Arabidopsis thaliana: one gene and its partner. The protein of the gene in region 2 interacts with the protein of the main gene of each other region in a pairwise test. Each region holds a gene or a part of one and is shown on either strand. Other genes may lie near its edges. The genes, in order: ABR1 and AT4G31620.

Region 1 (4,837 bases), on a different chromosome or scaffold from region 2:
TTACAAATTCTTCACATCTTCTGCAGAATATTCTCGTTGTCTCAAAGTACTACTCAAGGATTACCTTTAAGAGACTTGCAGAACTTTTATGCCTAACCACTGAGGTAAATATAGTTTCAAAATACTCTTAAGTGTACCAGTACATGTTTAAATCTCTTCTTACCGTTTCATTATATTTCAGGAAGCAGAGAAGCATCTATCTGAAATGGTTGTGTCCAAAGCCTTGATAGCAAAAATCGACAGACCATCAGGAATAATCTGCTTCCAGATTGTTAAAGACAGCAACGAAATCCTCAACTCGTGGGCAACAAACTTGGAGAAGCTTTTGGATCTTGTTGAAAAGAGTTGTCACCAAATTCACAAAGAAACAATGGTTCATAAAGTTGCACTAAGAGCTTGAGAACCCGGTCTAGCCACACACATCGGTGGAAAGAATCTTTCAGGCTCTCGTTCTAACATAATCATTTGAGTTTTCTTTCTCTGCTTGGTTCGAACACATTTTTTTTGTGTTCTTTAGGAGACCTTGCAAGATTATATACAAAACTCTCTTTTTTTTCCTTTCTCCATGTGGTCTTTTTAATGTTTGTTACAATGAAACGAAATTATAATGCAAAAATATAATAAATTAAGAAAAAAAGCATGAGAGGATGAAAGCAGAACAATACAAACAACCTAAACCCTATAATATTTGGAAAAATAACTCTATAACATATAATCATTTTCCTGTTTTCTATTACTCTATAGTGAAACAAATAAAATGAAGCAAGTCATCAGGAGGATGGACTATTATTGTAGTTATTACTAGTCTTGTCTGATGGCCATTGTATATCCTGGAGATAACCGGTTTCGCTAGCTGATTCTGGTGGCGGCTGAACAGCAGCCGGGGAAAACAGAGGACGAGAATGAGATGATGATGACGACGTAGATTGCATCATTGAACCTCCAGTGTGACCGAAACGCAACGGAAACGACATTTGATCGTATAAATCCAAAGATTGTTGATGATGTTGCTGAAACTGTTGTTGTTGACGAGCCATTTCAGAGTAACTCAAGTTGTATGATTGCATCAACGGCTGCGAATGAACGCTTTGATTCGAAGCAGGTCTTATGGGCAAAAGGGTAGTCGTTGAACCCGAGTTCCTTGACTGGGTCGGTCTTTGAGCAGCGGTTTGGTGCACAGGTTGTGCTTCGGTTGAAGCAGGTCTAACGAGTTTGACGTTTTCAGGGAAGTTGAGTTTGGCTTTGTTGCCTCTAAACCGAAGTGCAGCTTCGTCGTAAGCTCTTGCTGCTGATTCAGCATTGTCGAACGTACCGAGCCAAACTCTAGCTGCTTTAAATGGATCTCGAATCTCAGCCGCCCACTTTCCCCATGGTCTTTGTCTAACTCCTCTGTATCTTCGCCGAGGTTGGTCCCCACTAAACGACGACGTTTCGCTACTAGCAGTTGCCGTAGTTGTATACTCGTATGTTGGGCCCGGACCTGACATGTTACTCGAAGCTTCTCTCACTGCAAATAAACAAACAAACATGTAAAATTTCACACTTTTGTTGTCACTCGTGAATTAACACTTTCTTACATAAGAAAAAGAATCGATAATATTAATGTCTCCAATAAAGATATTATAAAGTTTTTTTTTTAAGAGCGAGTATGAGAAAGTGATGAGGCAAATGGGTGACAAAAGGAATGAACAAGTAGAAAAAAAAAGGAAGTGGAAAACGACTCTTGATGCAATTGGAGGGAGATAAATTCTTTTGGCATATCATCATCATCATCATCATTTTCTTAATTAAATATCCAACCTTTTTACAACAATTCTAAAGTATATGTCTTAAGATAATCAAGTACAGTTTCGTTATTATATTTATTTTTGTCAACACTTCGAAATATTTATTTACATCTTTACGCTAATTACTATTTTTTATTCCTCATTTTTCTTTATATTTAAATTATTATAAAGTATATCTAACTTCGCCATATTTTAGAAAACGATAAAAGAAAAGAATAAAAAAACTAAATATAAGACATGTTGCTTTGTAGATTGCGTGAGGACAACAAAAGTGCAACTGTATTTAGATTTTGTGTTACAAACATTTGATGTGACTCATACCTTGATGTATATACTACATCATAAAATTATTGAAAACATTTATCAAATAGAATGATCTTATAATTTAAATGTTTTATGTTTTGTGGATACACAACCGAAATATGTAAAATTTTATCAAAATGGTGTGTACTAATGTGGTTTAAATCCGAAACAGGGTACGTGTGTTTATAGAGGACAAAATAAAAACCCAACAAAACTAACCTTTAGAAGTAGAGCTACCACCGGAGAAATATTGATCAACCGTCAAAGTATTAGCTGCCTTAACCGCTTTGGCGCCACCTTCCTCCACCTCTCTCCTCCTTTTCTGCCCCGAGGAAGAAGACGAATTCGAAGTCCCTTCTCCGCTACCTTCACCGCCTCCTTGTTGATGCTGAGGAACATTTCCAGCAACAACGTGAGTCAAAGCAGAGACAATAGCAGACATCTCCATCTCTCTACTGAAACCTGAGATAAGAGATGAGGACGACGACGATGGAGGCGGCTGCTGCGTAGGGAAGCTATGACGGTGGTGGTCGTCTTCGGCTGCGAATAAGTAAAGCCATTGATCGATTTCAGATAACGTCCGATGATCATCGTCTCTAATAGACTCGGCTTTTTTGCCAACGTTATCTTCCTGATTTGCCACTTTTAAGACACACATACAAAACCCTCCTTCTAAATCCTCCTCCTCTGAAACTTAAAGCTTATAAACGCAGAGAAAATTAAATTTAAAAATATTCTTTTTCTTCGAGGGAAAGAAAACTCTGTAGAGAGAGAGAGAGAGAAACAAGAAACAGAGACAAAGAGGAAGAAAGAAAGACAGAGATTTTAGAAGATGTGTTTTTTAAGACAAAGGACGAGGTTTAGCTGATAGATATACAAATTTAATTTTCTTGTGTTAATTACTTTGTATGGTTTCAGCGCCGCCAAATGAAAATGAGTCGGCTTCTCTCTGTACCCGTGTGAACTGGAAACACGCAGTTTTTTTTTTAATAACTAATGTTTATATATATATATATATATATATAATATAGCAAATAGCTATTTTTATAAATTTGATCTATAACAGAAGAAAATTTGGTTTTGATGATTTAACTCAATTTGAACAAATTTTGTAAAAAATTGGGTCCTATTATATGAAACGTATCTGAATCTTTTCGCAACTTGTGAGTAATTATATATTTTTGTAAATATACTATATGCGACCTATACTCTATGAACAGTTCTGAAGAATACTTTAACAAGTCTAGTAAATTAAATAAATAAGGTAATGAATTAATTATGTATATTAGCTCTGTGTCATAAGACAACTTGCATAGTAAAAACTTTAAGAAGTTATAAACACTGTTAAAATATGGAGGCATTCAGAAACGATTATTAATTACTATATTTACGGTTCGGTGCTGAAAAAGAGGTAAAACCATTAAATGGAATATTTATAAAATAAGATTATTTTTGCATTTTGTCTAAACGGTGAGCTTGAAGGTCAAGTTGAGAGACGAGCCGTTCCGTACGAATGCGCGTGTGTTGCACGTGTCGGTTCTGGTCGACGTCAGATGCTCCGTTTGTGGACGGTGTCGGTGATGGTAAGGCTAATGCTCGTGACCGTTTGGGCCTCACCCTACGGCCCACTTGTTTCAACCTTCGTCTCTTATCTTTGACCGTTTGACCCACACCTTGTATTATTTTCTTCGTTTTCGATTTTTCAGAAGAAAATAATAGAAACGCATTGTTCAGAAGAAAATAGAAAAAAAATAGAAACGCATTGTTCAGAAGAAAATATGATTTTAGGATTTGTGATGTGTTTTTCTTTTAACTATAAGAGTTGTTTTCTTATTCGCCCGAATCGAGTCTAATAGAGGCTGCACAAAAACTTTTTGGTTAAGAAAAACATATTGTTGTCCATATTTGCAATTAAGCTCAGGATGGTTCAGATTTCAGAACTTGCAGATATGTACTCGTAGATTCTAGTCTGAACGCAGAATAATTATTATATTGATATCTTTTGGATTTTCTATTATTTTTTGGTTGAGAGTTAACTTGAGGATAATCTCGAAACGCATCGTTGGACTTTTGTTTTTAACCAATCTAAGCAATTGTGCTCACAAGTTGACGTAGTTGTTATTTTTACCTGTTATACACGAGACATTTTCGTATTGTTAAAAAGTCGCAGATTTAACGAAGCTAATAATACATAATTTGCAAAGATGGGAGAAAAAAAAACGATTGTTATTGATGTGACATTTTTCTTAGGCTGATGCTCAAGTCTCTATTAACTAATTAATTAGTCAGTGCGACAGTTTATTTTCTTAAAGAAGCTGAACAAAAATATTGTACGACAGTATAATTAATCTGGATAAACCACGACAAAAAAAAAAAAAAAACTGGATAAACCTTTTCACCGGTCATTTCCCTTTTTAGAAACTAAGATGCCCTGTTTTATACTAATCCAGTTTAATTATATTCCACTAAAACATACAGTAGCTTTTAATCACTTAGGCGATAAAAATACCTAAATATGTCTATCAAATAAAAATTAGTAGTAAAATAAAACAAATTTAGAGATCGAGTCTTCAAAGATCAATCCAAATACGGAAACATAGTGATTATTAAATAAATTTATGTTTTCACCATGCTTGTGTGTGCCTATCGCCTAACCTAATCCCTATTTAAGTTCGCATCAACGCGTCAATTAAGCATTCAATTCGGATTAGTTACGTATTATTATACGAATATGCATCCAACTTGTA
Region 2 (5,047 bases):
GTGTACGGTGGAGAAATTTTCCCAGCCGCCGGCGAATCTGCGGCCGTTCAATTTCACTTCCCAGGTTCTATCGAAAGCGTCCGAGGTCAGTTTCAGTTTTGTAGACTGGTGGTTTTTACCTTCCACGTAAGTCGAAAAAAACTCAGCAGGAATCATCTGCACGACACCAACATTAACAAGGATGATATATAAACCAGTTATAAGTTTTTTTGAACAATTGTAACAGAGAGAAACATAAAGAAACGAATAGAAGAGAGTAATTACGGGACTGGATTTGTGTCCATGAAGAACTATGACGAAGAAATGCTTGTTGGTTGGAGAGGAAATTGCTGGATCATCCATTATTGAATAAAGTAATCTCCACAACTCTACTAATAATCTCAGATATATGTGAGTCTGATCTTGAAAATTTTGTCTTTTCCAAGTCTTCTTCGAATTAAAGAAATGTTTTAATTAAAGAGCATGCAAGTTCTTTCTCGAAAACGCTGAAAGAGACAGAAGCAGTAAATCTGGCAAGGAGACTTTACGTTGAAATTTGATAGGTCAGTAAGGTGGGGGCCACCACTGTCACGTTTGAAATTTGATAGGTCTATAAAACTGACCTTAATTATTATTTTTTTTGGATTCTCAATTCACTTTTCTACTACCTACCAATCATCCCACAAGCACACATCTTATCGTTAGACAATCAAACTGATCCCTTTAAACAATCTCACGTCCAAAGGCTATTTAGAAATCAGCTTTACTACAGAGTTTCGATTTTCACAAACACGTAAATCATATATCATTTACTAAAGAAACTACTTGTCTTGATTGTTGAACGAGTTCCAGATGGCAGATACTAACAAGATTTGCAAAAGTTCATGTTCCATTTCCTAATCTTCACTTCCCTTCTAGACTTGATGATTACTTGAGGATTTTGTTGATTTCCGATACTTTATCCCCTGTTTATTTTCAACATTAAAATTTTAGAAACAAAGAAACAGAATAGTAAAAGAAAACAACTGTTCATCAGTGTTTAGATCATACCTAAGGCGTCGATTTCCAGCAGCGCAGCTTCTAAATTCCGCTCCTTTAACTCAAGCTCTGACCGAAACCGTTTTATACCAGTTAGAATGTTTACAATACTCTGTTTCACCTTTTTCGCTTGATCAGAGAATGAGCAGGGTTGAAGTGGTTGCTTGCGCTGCAAGATTTTTGGATCGTCACTGGATTTGTTTGGTGCCTGAGTGCGACGAGAGTGTCCTACTTCTGCAGACACTCGAGCTCTCTTTGGTAACGGAGTCCCCCTCTCTTCTGGAGCCTCTTCTTGCTCTATCTGAATACAATTCATTTTAACAGTCTAAATATAGTTCATTATAACAAAAAAGGCGACTTGAATCACAAGGTGTTTATTCACCTTGACCTTGGCCTCGGAGCAGAACTTGAGCATAGGAGTTGTGCCTTCTCCTCGAACAAACTCCAACGTGAAGGTCTCTCCCGTCTTTAACTTATTGGCTTCACAAAACCTAATCCAACCATGTGCCATGTAAAACTCTCTTCGTTGTTTGGAAGAAGATACATAGGATGGCCACTCTACTCCATTTTTGTCCACTAGAATTATCTCTTCAGCCTCCTTGATCCCGTTCTCCCTCACAAATGATCTCCGGAGACGCTGCATAAGCATTCGTGAAGTATTACAAGAAAATGCATAATCAAATTAACCCTAAACCTAAGACGTTGAAAACTTACAAGTTGCCCTGACTGGATCATGTAATGCTTCAAGGTTACTGTCAGAAACTTGTTCTGCTTCGTTGAAGCACTCCCATCTTCCCTGCTATACTTTTCAGAAACATTAGCTTTTCCATTTGCTTTGGAATTGGAACAGTTTCCTTGTGGAATAACTTTAAAACACAATTGTAGCAAAGGCCTTGTCCCATTCCGGACAAGCTTAAACCGGTAGAACGATCCGGGTTTCAGCTCATTTGCATGGCAGAAACTTCTCCAGCGTCCACGGATAAAAGCCTGACCAGTTCTTTTGTTGTGTCGCAGACCCAGAGTCCATGATTCCCCACTTAGATTCATTAGATCAATCATACAACATCTCTTCGTCAAACCATTTGCTCTCGAAAAATGTTTTGTAAAACTCTGCCAAAAAAGAACAAAACACAATTTCAATGTTCACATATATATAAATAACTCATAAACAAGAACTCTAAAGAATTTGATGCCAAGTAGTACTAACCACTCGATTTAGGCGTAGGTTGGAAGCAGTGAGGCCGAGAAGACAATATTTTTCCGATGAAGAAGACTCTGCTTCAAATCTTGATTTCTTCTTCAACGAAATGTTCTTCGAATCTGAATCATCGTCCCCTGCTTCATCATCATCATCATCACTGTCGTAGTCGCCGGAGCTAGAAGATGTACGTATCTGTGAGAAACTGCGTCCGGAAGGTGTGACGTGGAAAACCATCTTCACGTCGAGTCTGAAAACCAAAACGTCGTCGTCTCGAAGACAGTGTGCGGCGGAGAAATCATCCCAGCCGCCGGCGAATCTCCGGCCGTTCAGTCTCACATCCCAGATTCTATCCGAAGCATCAGAAGTCAGTTTCAATTTCGTTAAGCCAGTTTTACCCTCTAAGTGAGCAGTGAAAAACTCATCAGGAATTATCTGCAACAACAGTGACAACTAAATTTGAGTTTCTTGGTAAGTTGAGAGAGAGAGAGAGAGACAGAGAGAGGTTACTAGATTTGAGGTGTGTCCAGCAAGTGATCTGACGAAAAAAGGTCGGTTGGATCGAGAAGAAGATAGTGGATGATTCGCCATTGTTGAACTCTTTAAGTTATTTCTTGAGGTCTTTATGGATTTTTGGTTTTATAGCCAAATTTGTCTTTTTTTTTTCTTTTTTTTTGTTTAGTCTTATACGTTTTGTTAATAATTTTGTAAATTTAATTCTTCAACCAAGATATTTTTATTTTTGTCAGCATTATTTAAATATCATAGCCAAATACCTAATGATAATGTTATGGAACCCATTATTTAAACCCGTTTGATTCATACTATAAGAACGAATCGTTTAGATTGGTTCGTAAAAAAAAGAAAATATCCAGTTTAAATTAAAAGTCTATCTTACCATCATTACCAAGACAGACATGTCCCGTTCAGTACAACAGTTCAATCACTGGGATACGAATCTAAAGACAATGTCAGTAACTTTATCTTGACGGAGACGTGAATGAGATAAAGGCTATGGGATAATTAATATCCAAGACAAGTGGAAACGGAAAAGTTCCGAAATATTATCCAGTGACATACTTAACTCCATGGTTGCAAACATAAAGTACCTGGTCCATTTTCTAATCTTTATTTCTGAATTAAACTTGACTAATGTTGAAGATTTTGCTGATTCCCATTATCTTTTCCCCTGTTTTTGTTTCCAACATCACATTATCAAAAAATCTGGAACCAAAATAAACCACACACACAATTAAAAGTAGTGTTCACTGGTATTCAGATCATACCTAACGCATCAATTTCTTGCAATGAAGCTTCTAGATTCTGTTCTTTTACCTTGAGCTCCGACTGAAACCGCCTTACATCGGTTAAAGTATCCACAATACTCTGTTTCACCTTTTTAACGTGATCAGATATTGAGCAAGGTTGCTTTTGCTGCAAGTTTCCCGGATCAGCCCTAGTGCTGCGAGATGGCCCTCCTTCCTCAGTAACTTGAGCTCTCTTTTCGACCCGATTATCAGTTTGTTCTTCAGCCAGTGGTGCTTGATCCGTCATTCGGGGTTTCCTATCCGCAGTCTTATGGCCATCAGATGATGCTGCTTGTTTCACCTGAACACAATTCGTTTTAAAACAACGATTTCACAATAGCAAAAGCCAAGAACAAAGACTGTAACTGATTTTATGTTAACCTTGGAACAGATCTTGAGAATTGGAGATGGTCCTCCTCGAATAACCTCCAATGTGAAGGGATCACCAACATTCTTTACGCCATTAGCTACAAAGAAATCTTGACAACCTCTATTGTAAAACTGATCGCGTCCCTTGATGTTAACTAGATGCGACTTCCACTCTATGCCATCTTTGTTCAATACAGTTACCTCTCCTGCTTCCACGATCCCGTTCTCTCTTGCGAACGATGCAGGAAGAAACTGTACATTTTCAACACATTTAAGCGAATGACAACACAAAAAGACTTGAAAAACACCTAGAACAAAGGTCTTGAAAACTTACAAATTGACATGACCTGAACACGTAAGGTTTAAGATCAAACGTCAGAATCTTGTTCTGATTCAATGGAATAGTCTCTGAGCAATTCTCAGATTCTATCTCATCACCTTCAATTTCAGAAACATTTCGTTTTTTTCTTGCTTTGGAAGAGTTTCCTTCTGGAATGCTAGAGGCGTTGGGACACAGCTGTAGCACAGGTTTTATTCCGCTTTGGACAAGCTTAAACCTACAGATAGATCCAGCTTTGATCCCGTTATTACGACAAAAACTTCTCCATCCTCCACGCATAAAAGCCTGACCAGTTTTTTTGTTGTGTCTCAAAAGCAGAGTCCAAGATTTTTCATGTTCATCCCTCAGATCAATCTCACACTCTCTCCTGTCCAGACCATTTGACCTTGCAAATTTGCTTAAAACACACTGCAAAATCACAACTTCATATATATTGTAGCAAAAGAATAGAATGAGAATTGTATTAAAGATTCCAGCGAAGTAGTAATCACCATATTATCTCGGAGTAGGCTTGAAGGTGTGACGTGTGCAACAAGATAAGATTTGTCTGATGAAGACTCTGTTTCTTTTCTTGCTCTCTTCTTCGACGAAATTTTCTTTGAACAAAAATCATCTTCGGATATCGAATTGTCATCATCATCTCCTACATCGTCGTCTTCATCATCATCAAAAACAGTGCGTTCATCATCATCATCGTCAGAGGTAGAAGAAGAGATTAACTGTATCTGAGAGAAACTACGTCCGAAGGGTGAGACGTGGAAGACCATGCCTCCGTCGTGCCGGAAACTCAAAAGGTCGTCGTCTCTAACAGAGTGG

Evidence for each region.
Region 1: the proteins of AT4G31620 (region 2) and ABR1 interact in a two-hybrid assay, tested with the Arabidopsis thaliana proteins (one large-scale study listed by BioGRID).

Annotation. Positions count from the first base shown.
Region 1 is NC_003076.8:25,889,590-25,894,426, reverse strand, and holds ABR1 (Integrase-type DNA-binding superfamily protein), read right to left. Parts: upstream 2,979-4,837; 5' UTR 2,749-2,978; coding exon 2,310-2,748; intron 1,508-2,309; coding exon 771-1,507; 3' UTR 539-770; downstream 1-538. Other genes in the region: RPN5B (regulatory particle non-ATPase subunit 5B), read left to right, coding at 27-104, 182-400.
Region 2 is NC_003075.7:15,321,853-15,326,899, forward strand, and holds AT4G31620 (Transcriptional factor B3 family protein), read right to left. Parts: upstream 2,869-5,047; 5' UTR 2,807-2,868; coding exon 2,726-2,806; exon of another isoform or gene 2,651-2,725; coding exon 2,225-2,650; intron 2,128-2,224; coding exon 1,732-2,127; intron 1,655-1,731; coding exon 1,400-1,654; intron 1,319-1,399; coding exon 1,030-1,318; intron 945-1,029; coding exon 907-944; 3' UTR 543-906; downstream 1-542. Other genes in the region: AT4G31615 (Transcriptional factor B3 family protein), read right to left, coding at 1-156, 265-342; AT4G31630 (Transcriptional factor B3 family protein), read right to left, coding at 3,491-3,823, 3,904-4,143, 4,226-4,639, 4,723-5,047.